3 linked regions of the Astyanax mexicanus genome follow. The protein of the gene in region 2 interacts with the protein of the main gene of each other region in a biochemical or structural test. Links are inferred from orthologs where the notes say so. Each region holds a gene or a part of one and is shown on either strand. Other genes may lie near its edges. The genes, in order: nlk2, lef1 and mitfa.

Evidence for each region.
Region 1: of the proteins of lef1 (region 2) and nlk2, one has a biochemical effect on the other in vitro, tested with the Homo sapiens proteins (4 studies listed by BioGRID). The link is inferred for Astyanax mexicanus from reciprocal best matches to the Homo sapiens genes LEF1 and NLK.
Region 3: the proteins of lef1 (region 2) and mitfa form a complex in vitro, tested with the Homo sapiens proteins (2 studies listed by BioGRID). The link is inferred for Astyanax mexicanus from reciprocal best matches to the Homo sapiens genes LEF1 and MITF.

What each region holds. Positions count from the first base shown.
Region 1 is NC_064425.1:29,109,355-29,113,107, forward strand, and holds the start of nlk2 (serine/threonine-protein kinase NLK), read right to left. Parts: upstream 2,347-3,753; 5' UTR 882-2,346; coding exon 421-881; intron 1-420. UniProt on the Homo sapiens protein: Serine/threonine-protein kinase that regulates a number of transcription factors with key roles in cell fate determination. Positive effector of the non-canonical Wnt signaling pathway, acting downstream of WNT5A, MAP3K7/TAK1 and HIPK2.
Region 2 is NC_064414.1:45,612,214-45,615,966, forward strand, and holds the start of lef1 (lymphoid enhancer-binding factor 1), read right to left. Parts: upstream 2,238-3,753; 5' UTR 1,421-2,237; coding exon 1,205-1,420; intron 1-1,204. UniProt on the Homo sapiens protein: Transcription factor that binds DNA in a sequence-specific manner. Participates in the Wnt signaling pathway. Activates transcription of target genes in the presence of CTNNB1 and EP300.
Region 3 is NC_064412.1:2,748,826-2,752,578, forward strand, and holds the start of mitfa (melanocyte inducing transcription factor a), read right to left. Parts: upstream 2,432-3,753; 5' UTR 2,203-2,431; coding exon 2,170-2,202; intron 1,412-2,169; coding exon 1,184-1,411; intron 158-1,183; coding exon 62-157; intron 1-61. UniProt on the Homo sapiens protein: Transcription factor that acts as a master regulator of melanocyte survival and differentiation as well as melanosome biogenesis.

The sequences.
Region 1 (3,753 bases), on a different chromosome or scaffold from region 2:
ACTAAAGAACCTTTCACTAACACATCCTATAGCAGTGATTCTCACAGAAGTCTTGATGGTTTTCAATGGTTACAACACAGCAATGGAGCAATGTGAGAACAGTCTACTTGTCCCCAAAGTCTAGTTTGACCACCAAAACCAAAAGGAACCAAAAGTAAATGTTTCTTAAACAAAATTGCGGAAAGAAGACTTTCAAATAACTTTATTTGAGATAGTTTTATTAATGTTGGTTATTTTAGAACTACATGGAAACTATGCCCAAGTAGTTATTATAGTGGTGGCCTCAACGGAGGCCTCAAAACATGAGGCCTAAACTCTGCAGAGCTGCAGCCCTCCAAGACTCAAGCCTGACACCCCTGCCACAGAGTTCAGGAGATTGAAGCTAAAGAACCTGCTTCAGCAAAACAGGCCGCCACTCACCAGACCACACCGAAGGCTCCGTATCCAATGGGCCTGTCCGGCTCGATGTCCAGTTGCTGCTGCAAGTGGTGAGCATGCTGATGGTGGTGATGATGCGCCTTGACTGCCGCAGCGGCCGCCGCCTGGACCTGAGCTGGGGCTGCAGCCGCCGCCGGGCCAGGGGCTTGTCCGGGAGCAGGCGAAGGGAAGTACGGCTGTTGCTGGCTCGGGTTCAGCATGACTGCAGCCGCCGCAGCCGCGGCCGAGGCGTGCTGCTGTTGCACAGGGTGCACGGCCGCAGCCGAGCCAGGGTGCTGCAGGTGGTGCTGGCCCGGGTGGTGGTGATGGTGCAGGTGAGGAGGCGGAAGGTGTGGCAGTTGGTGGTGGTGGTGAGGGTGATGGGCCGCCACGGCCGAGGCGCCGCCACTGTACGCAGCCATCATTTTTGCGGCATTGGTCGCCGTCGTCCCGCAAAGAGCCATTCACTCAACAGCCAGAGGAAGAGAGGGAAAGCGAAAAGAAAGGAAGAGAAAAACAAAACTAAAGAGAAAGGGGACAAGAGCGAAAATGGGGTCTCCTGAAAGATCAAACAGGCGAAGAGATGGAAGAGGCCTAGCCTAGATCATTGGCCTGCTATCTATCCAATGGATGGACATATCCAAACAAAAATGCTTGGAGTAGAGCAAAGTAAGTGTGACAAGTGTGAAAAGATGTTGAGTGACAAGACTAGATTTGAGTGGCTTTAACATGAGTGCACCAGCTCTGTCTCTCTCTCTCTTTCCCTCTCTCTCAGCTCTCATAAAGTCAACTCCATGCTTCAGCTAAGCTAGCTATCTTCCATTTGATCTGACCTACTTCTGGGAAATGCGCTTTGCTCTCTTATGGCCAGGCAGGCACTACAAATTTCCCACAATCAGACCACAATCACAACTGCACATTCAGAAAAAGCCTGAACAGCTAAAAAAAGCAAGGAAATGAAAGAGAAAGAAGAATGAAAGAAAATAAATGTTGATGATGATGGTGATGATGATGATGTGACTAACAAAAATCCCACTCCCCCCTCAGTCCAGAGATCCTGTATGGCCTTAAATCTCCCTCATGTTGGAGGTAAGAAAGCTCTCCACTCTCCAAACAACCTGAGGCCCTTGTTTCCCTCCTTTTATCTCCTGTTTAAGAGTGAGAAGGTTGAAACTGAATGTGGTGGGTTAAGTGGGGAATGCAACCTTCATCTTTTAGACTTCTTCACATTGGCCATGTTGGCTGGTCCGGAGCCGAGGCTGCTTCCACGGCCGGAGGCTGCATGCAGTGTTTTTGGAGTCAGTGAAGAAGTTAGCACTGGATTCTCGCCCAAGGCCAGCACCTCCACAACCAGCACGGAGCTCTGGTGCTCGCTAGGCGGCTGAGATCACTCTGTTTCGGGGCAGAAAGTGGACCAAACCCCCTCCATATATGCAGCTATTCCTGCTTCTGGGTTAGAGCTAGGAGAGGCTGGCTGGCTGGCAGGGTGGATGGATACGACAGGTACTCCTGAACAGCTGTAGCTGTAAATCTCGCTGCTTCTCCTTTTCCCAAACGTCAAAATCGAAGCCCCCGAAGCCCCTCCGGTCCCCAAGCCCCCATCGCGTCGACGAAACAAGCCGAATCACCCCTTCTCCTCCCCGGAGCGAAGAACACAAATTCTTCCGGAGCCAGTCAACTTATTTTCTCCATCGACTCCTCCGGCGTGAGGCAGCTAACCCTACACTGCTGTTCCTTCCAGACACCCTGGCATAAATCCGCTCCAGGAAAACAGATCCACAGCTCCGCGCACCGCGGAGGAATCGCGCAGCCACAGCCGGACCCCGCTGCTGCTGCTGCCGCCTGGACGTTAAGGCAACACGCGCCCGAGCCTGAGCTTCTTCAGACCAACCGTCGACTCCCCCCCTCCCCTTATGACTGACGCCCGTGACCGACGTCCATTCTGACCAACCGCGTCGCGACCCAGCCACCCTCAACCAATCACAGCGCGCCGCTCTCGCCTCTAATGCGGGCTTGCAGCCAATGGGCGGAAGGGGGCGGAAACAGGCGAGCGACCCCAGCAGCAAAACAAAGTGGGGCCTGTTGCCTGTGAAACGGACGCCATTACGGCAAGAGAGAGCCGGTGTTCTGTCAAGTTGCACTACCCGTCAAAATCTGCTGCTTAGAGGCCGTGCGCATGCGCCGACTCACATGTTTGAAAAAGGTTTTTTAATGTGGATTTTTTATGATAAAAATCATTAATAAAAATAACCTATACTTTTCATCGCTTGCATAAAATAATATAAGCTTACTGTAACTATTTCCTTGAGGTTAAAATAAAATTAAAGCAAATTAAAAACAAACATAAAAAAGCTTAGTTTCGTTTTTTTTTTTTTTTTTTTTGAGCGTATATTTCCCTGATGCACTTATTTTGGCCATATAAAATCCAGCTATACTTCTGCTGGGAGTATGTAAGATATGGTGCTTCTAAACGTTTTAAACGGAAACCAGAACGTATTTTTCTTTTCCATACTGTTTGTTTTACCTAGGCAGCTCTACCTATAAATAGAGCTTCGCTGTCGAAGCACGTTTTGACAGGGTAGCACAAATCGGCACAACACAGGCCAGCGCCGGGGGAGCGGACGGGCCAAACCAACCCAAATGGCCGAGCTGGAGCTCCGCTCTGCCCGCTGCAGATCAAGCGGAGGCAAATAATAAAATAATTAAATTGAGCAGTTATTCAGCCCGCCGCTGAACGGCCTCTCTGGGCTGGGAATGACTGCCACCATCCGCCGGCAGGTTACTGCCCCAGGCGTGCAGCCGCCGGGGTAAAGGTACAGGCGGCGGTAAAGTTTGGGTTTGGGGTCAGGTGAACTTTCTCATCCAGCACCTTCCTAAAGTAATCGTAAAAAAATCGCCTAACTCATATTTTCAAGTTTTTTTTTATAGGAAATACATAAACATTAGACATTTAAAAATAAGCAATGGTTTAAGAGGATATTTTATCATACAGTCAAGCAGTTCAATCCTAAATCCTGAATTCTAAAAATATTGATTTAAAAATCAGAAAACATTTTAACAGCCACTTCTAGAATACTTCTAGCTTTATGGAATTGACTGCTGACTAAAATCCAAACTAAAAATACAGAAAAAAAAATAAATAATAAAAAATAAACCTCAATAATGAGACTAAAATGTATTCATAAAAAGTAAACTTTATATAATAGTAAAACTCTCATCACTTACTAGGTGGGGATGTTGGAAAATTAGATCAGTGAAGGGAGCTGCCATCTTTTTTAGGCATAATTTACTAGCTTAAGTCACACTCTTTGCATTCCTAAAACTGAGAGTATAGGG
Region 2 (3,753 bases):
AGATATTGATGCAGAGCTACTTACAAAATGAAAAATTCAGCTTCTTTCTGGTTTTCCAGAAAGGGTTTAAATGGTTTTAAACAGCACTAGCTGTAAACAGGGTTTACTGTTATTTCAAGTCATTTAAATCGTTTAGCTTATACTGAAAATGTTCTACATCTAATGGTGAAGTGTAGGGAGTGTATGAATGGATTAGAGAACTCTTGAGTGGTTATAAAATAACAAAAGAGAAACATTAATGTAAAATTTAGTTTAAGCTACAGCTGAGCATTTTTTATTCACAGGTTCCTCAGTCACAGATTTATCAGGTATTTAAACTGCAATTTCAATGGTTAAGGGCTCCACTGTTGTTTCAAGCCAAATATGCATTTATTTTGATTTTTTTTTTTTTTTTGCGTAGTCTTGAAGTAGTGATATAGTGCACTGGCTGTGTAAACAGATTGAGTGGCTGTATTTTTTTCCCAGGATATTTAAATACTTAAATGGCAATTTCCATGGTTAAACAGTACTAGTTTATAATGAAGACACAGTTTAAAGGTTCTGCTCATACAAAACAGGCTTCACTGCTGTTTCAAACCAAATAAGCATTTATGTTAAACATTTTCTGTTTAGTGTACTGGCTGTGTGAATAAATTAGATAAATCGAGTGAGTTTATAACAGCAAAATATCAAAAATATAAAACTCAGATTCTGAGTTGAAGCTACTGATGGGAAAGCATTTTCATTCACAGTTTTTTCCAGGTACTTTAAGTACTTAAATGGCAATTGCCCTGGTTAAATAACACTTAATTTTTTTTTGCTCATAACAAAAAGGGGTTTACTGTTGTTTAAAGCAAAATTATCATATATTTTGATCATTTTCTTTGAAACATAACTCTTGAGTGATTGTATAAGAGCAAAATATAAAAAAAAATATTCATTCAGTTTTTTGTAGGTAATTTAAGTACTTAAATTGCCATTTCACTGGTTAAACAGTTCTTGTTTATGATGGAGACACTGTTTAAAGGGTCTACCTACAACTTCACTGTAGTTTCAAGCCAAATAAGCATTTATTTTGAACATGTTCTGTGTAGTATTGCAGGATTGGTGTATTGCACTGGCTGTGAGAACGAATTAAGGGAGTCTTGGTGGTTTTTAACAATATTGAGTCATTTTAGCCCCCACTTTCCCCCTTCCTCCAGCAGGTAGTTTGTTAGTTACTCACATCGTGGCCGGTGCTGTTGGGACTGTCCTCCGTTTCGTTAACCAGAGAAGATTTGATCTCGGCTAAATCTCCTTCCTCCTCCGAGTGGCTGATCTCTGCAAAGATCTGCTCTTTCTGCGGGTCTCCTTCGTCCTTGAAGGGAATCATTTCATCTGTGGCGCAAAGCTCTGGATCTCCACCTCCGCCGCCACCTCCACCTCCAGCTAGCTGGGGCATGATAACACGCTAACGTCCCCCCCAAAAAAAAATCCCCTCAGAAAAAATAATAAAAAAATCACAGAATAAACTTGTGTGAAAACTTCACGTGGGAAGGAAGCGCGTGCGGGGAGCAGCAACAGGAGGAGAACCCAAGGTGTGTGTGTGTGTGTTTGTGTGTGTGATCAAAATGTGTGTGTGGGACAAAGCCCTGAGTTTGAGGAGGAAATATTGAGATACAATGTCTCAATCTCGCTCTCTCTCTCTGTTTTTTTTTTTTTTTAAGAAATAAAAAGAACTTCAAAGAGTTCAGACTTTTCACACACTCTGTCTCACACTCACACACACTTCTTTCTTCTCCAGGCTACTAACACACAGCCAGCACAGCTCCCGACGTGTGTATATTTCCTCCTCAGACAGAAAAAAACAAACACCCACTCAATCAATCAATTCGATTAATCGCACTGATTGAACGCCAAAACCGCACAACAACAAACAAAAACACTGACACAAGCCGCAAAAACTCTGTGAAAAACTGTGAACAAAAAATCTGTAACTTTGTTTCTAGTTGCGCTTCAGTCTCAGAAAAGCTCCATGCGAAGAAAAGCGAAGATTTTCTGCCCAAAAAACTCGAACAAAGTGTTTTAAAAAAAGTCGTTGCGCCGAAGCGTCAGAACGTCCAAAGCGGAGCCTCGACGCTCCTCGCGAGCTGCAGACCCTCTGACTGCCTGCCTGACTGACTGAGAGAGTGTGTGAATGTGTGTGTGAGAGAGAAAGAGAGAGAGAGTGTGTGTAATGTAGCTTTGCTCTCTCTCTCTCTCTCCTCCCTCTCCTCCTTTCCTCTCCCACACTGACTGTAGGGAGAGAGATGAAAGGCGAGCCGCCGAGCTGATTGACACCGCAGCGATTGACACTCCTGAGGAGGAAGAGGAGGAGGAGGAGGAAGAGGGGGTGAAGGGGTATCCATCTCTCAGCAAATGGCAGGACAGCAAAAAAAACAAAAAAAAAACAGTATTTGGAGGGGGGTTTAGGGTGTTAAAATTAAAAGTGTGCATATACACACAGACACACAAACACATAAATGCACACAAACGAGCCCCTAAATTTTTTTTAAAAGTTTTCTAAAAGTTGTTTTTAATGATAGAAAATCTCCAAAATCAGATATTCGAAACGTTTCTCGTATTGTGTGTGCGTACAATTGACGCACCAAAAATATTTAATAAATTAAATGTATATTTTAATATTTATATTTATGTTAATATTATTAATTTAAATAATATATTTGCTTAGAAACAATTGTAACGATTAAATTGTTATGATTACTCACTCAAATTCCACATTAGAATTTTATTCAAATAAATAAATTGAATCGCAGAAATAGACAGGACTCTTATGGCACATTTTGTTGCCCGTTACAGCAGTAAATCAGTGGTACAGGTATGAAGCTGGATTTGAAATGTATTTTAAAAACATTTAAGCTCTAGGGCAACAATAATGACAATTAGTTAGTCCAGGTTAAATCAAAGCTTTTGCCTAAAATGGTAAAAAATAAATAAATAAATAAAGTGATCTAAGGATGTATATGTATAAATCAAAGCAGCATGTAAATAATTGATTAAAACTGATAAAATATTTACAAATATATTTATATTATATATAATGTAATGTATGTATATATATATATATATATATATATATATATATATATATATATATATATATTTTATAAATAACTTTAGAAACTATTGCTCTACAGTTTCATTTAATATATATATATATATATATATATATATATAGTGTTAAACATCACGTCTAGCACGTAAGGTATATATTATAGGTATATATAATTAGACCTGTATAACCCTACTTTGAATTACTTGCAAAACTAGATCCTATAGCTTTACATTTCTCCTGTTCTGCTTGGTTTTCAGAAAAGTGGGATATCTTAGTGAAACCATAATCACTCATTCTTTCACAGAAGCTGAGTGTTGGTAGAGTTTTTACAGGCTGGGTTTCAGTGCTGAAGGAAAGAGTGAATAAAGGAAGGGATGTTTAGGCTGAGTGAAAGAGGCCAGGGCACATAAAGAAAAAGAAGAAAACCCGACACGCGTTTTTAATGCAGGACACTCAGCATCGTAAAACTGCGGAGAGAGAGAATCATACACTGAACGCGATAAACTACTAAATAAACCTCAGTGACTCAGACTCTGTGTGTGTGTGTTCGTTCAGTGTCTGCTGGTTGCGTGAGAGTGAGCGTGCTCCGACAGAGGTGGGCTTTATAAAGCAGTGGGCGGGGCTTGAAGGCTGGGCCGCGGCTCCCTTTGATCTTCAGGGCGGCTCTTTCATCTGTTCCC
Region 3 (3,753 bases), on a different chromosome or scaffold from region 2:
TATGTGTTGAATTTATTTTATTGAATTATTGGAAATGAACAAGAAAGTTTATTCTTCTTACTGTATTCGCCATCTGTAGTCCTGTATCCATGAGTCCGAGTATATCATCATTATAACTCGACTCCAGGCTGATAATATCTTCAATTACATCGTCCATCTGCAGCAGCAGCAGCACCAAAAACAAAAGAGAACAGAAAACAAAAACACAAAATACACTTTAATTACATTTAATCAGATATAAAAAAGGAACTCTATTAATTACTCTGTAGGTACAAGTACAGATAATATGGTTTAAGTATCAAATCAAGCTTTTTTTTTTTACTCTTTGAGTAAAAGTGTAGTAAAATTTCTCTAATTCCAAAACTACTTAAAGTATAAAAGTAAAAGTAAATAGAACTGATTGAATTTTTGCACCAGGAGTAAAGCAGCATAAAGTTATCCAAAAGCAGTGTGTAAGACTGGTGGAGGAGAACATGATGCCAAGATGCATGAAAAAAAAAACTGTGATTAAAAACCAACCAGGGTTATTCCACCAAATATTGATTTCTGAACTCTTAAAACTTTATGAATATGAACTTGTTTTCTTTGCATTATTTGAGGTCTGAAAGCTCTGTTTATAGAACTCTAGCTCTCTAGTTTATAGAACAAAACAACAATGTTCATTTTATTCAAACATAAACCTATAAATAGCAAAATCAGAGAAACATATTCTTCCCCCAGTCCTTAATCATGTTAATCTGAGCTAAAGGCTTAAGATGCTGTTTCCATGTGGGTCAGCCAGACGTCTTCCTGTAGCAGTTTTTTCTCCAGTTTCCAAGAGTCTTTTGAAGGTTTTATCTGTAATTTATCTAAAGAAAAGACTTCTACTTTTAAAAGTTACAGATTTCTCTGTGTTTCTGTGTCTTTTTTTAGTCATTATTTTGATTTGTAATTTGGGAGAAATGTTGTCTGTAGTTTATAGAATAAAACAACAATGTTCATTTTAGTCAAACATAAACCTATAAATAGCAAAATCAGAGAAACTGATTCAGAAATTGAAGTTGCCTCTTAATTTTTCTCATTGCTTGAGTTAGAAACAGTTAAACCAGTAAAATCATGCAAATAATAAAATTGACATTAATGCATGTTCTAGATTCCTCATAAACGCATATATTTCTATTTTAAACATATATACTGTACGTACCTCTTTCTCGCAGTTGGAGGTGAGGGTGAGCAGGGCCATAGGGCTGTTCGGGGCGCTGGCTCCTGGGCCGGGGGGCATGCCGTGCTCCGGGGGCTGGCTCGGGCACGGCCCACTGCTGGCCTGTGGGCTGAGTTTGGCCCCCAGGGTGCTGGACAGGTAATGCTTCACCTGGTGCCTCTGGGCCTGCTGGAGGTGGTACTTAGTGGGGTTCTCCAGGTGAGTCTGTACCTGGACGGAGGATTGTGAACAAATTCAGAGCAAATTCAGTACATTTCTGTAGGATTGAGACATATATTTAGCATATATTTTGGGTGACATTGGTAGACATACATTCGATTGGTTTAAAAATGTAAATTTAAAGTGTTTATGCAATATTAGCATATAATATAACAGCTAATTAGCCTATTCCATAAGAAATACATTAACAAGTACACTACAAGTGCAGCAAGTACTAAATTCATTGCACTATAAACTATAAATATATATACTATATATTTACGATCAATAACAATACAAACAACTTAAAAACAAAACAAACACCAGCACAAAAACATCACAATGTCAATTAAAGTCAATTATCAAGACTAGAATAAAAAAAACGCAGTTGCTTTAAAAGCATTGACTTTCAGTTTTAGGTCTAATTAACTTAATTTTACTGTAATTCCAGTGTATTTCTTTACATATTCCCAGACATATACGTAGATTTATTTATGACCCACATTGTCTATGCCTCATTGTATTGGACATATAAGTGCTAGGAAACATTATATAAAGTTTAAAATTAAAATATGAATAAATGAGTAAAAAAAACAAGTAGGAAAAAGTTTAGTGACCCAAATTTTGGGTTAAACACCCTCAATCAATCAAACCTTTATTTAAACTTGGATTACTGAATGATTTTAAAAATGAGCTGTAATCATTTTTACTCAATTTTTAAGGCCAATCAAATTCTATGTAAAGTCAATTCCTGTCAAATCACGTCTTACCTGGTAATGGCTGTACTCAAGCATCTCCAACATGTTGTCTTGTGCAATGAATCAGTTCATAAACCTCAATAAACGTTGATAAACGCCGATAAATATTCCCTTCGTCAGGTTGAACCCTTTACGATGGCCAAGCGAGAAAATAAGCTAACAAGCTAACGAGCTAAGGGCTAATGAGCTAACGAGTCAAATCGCAAATGAGCGCCAGTGGAGCTCCTCAGCAGGTCGAGCTCAATCTGAGGATATTTAAGGAAGGGGAGGAGATCTATTTGCCCTCATACTGAGATTTTTCCCCTAAAATGAAGACTTTATGCTTTTATAGAGTTCATTTGACGTCACCATCCCCAATTCACAAAAGCCCCTTTTAACTGATGGGTAGCTAGTCTCTAAACTGAAACTGGCTTTAGGCTAACTACTGTTTCATCTTTAGTTCCGCTCGCCCGGCATAAAACATTGTTTGTTCTGAGCATCGAGGAGACAATCGCCGCCACTGTGCCTTCAAAAACGAGGCAGAGTAAATTCTGAAATGCTGGAGAGAGAGGAGACGAACTCATACACACCACAAACAACACACACTCCTCCAAACACACACTCCTCCAAACACACACACTCCTCCAAACACACACTCCTCCAAACACAACCCTTTAAACTCTTCTCATGAGCTTTAAAACTCCTTCAACCTGTCGCTAATCATACGATTTACTTCACTGAGAAGTTCTGAAAAGTTCTGCTGCTGACGAAGAAGCAGGACGAGTAAATGGATAGATGGAGTTTAGATGGTCCATTATACTGTAGATGCGTCACCAACATTCATCTGACATTCAACAAAACATCCATTAACCCTACCTTCAAATTTACTATAAAGTATTTACTTTTATGCTTGGCTATTTTAACCTCCAGACAATTATAATATACTGATTAAAATTGTAACAAAAATTTATTTCACATGCTATACATATATAGCCTTCAAAACAATACCCCCACTTATACAACCAGAATACATGTGAAAATAGAGACCTTTTTAATGTTTTAATGTCAAGCTGTGTGAAAGGATGGACGAGGAGAGTGGAAACACACACGCAAGTAATCTTTTATGAAAATAACAAACAATCAAACAATAAAACAAACAGGAACTTGTACAACAAACTGAATCACAAACAGAATTCAAAAAACGCAGCCGAGACAGATGTATACACGCACAAGAACCGACAAACTAACACTGAACACACAGGAGCTTAAATACACACACAAGGCGGAAAGGGACAAGTAACACTTGGGGACCTATTAATGAGGGGAGGAGCTACAAATTAACACAGGTGACAACAGTAGAGGTAAAGACACGGATGAACACAGGGGTGGAGCTACATATGAAAACAGACAGAGCACTAGGGGAAATGACAGGCATGAGGCACAGGTAAACAAACACAGGGAAATGTGACCACAGAAGTGGAACAGGGCAGAGATTTATATTATTTATAAATACATATTTTTGTCATTTAAAACATAAAGGGCCCTACTTTAGGTATTTTTAGTGCATCGGTTAATTGTGGGGCGTGCAGCTTGATGTAGGGTAGGGTGTGATTTAGG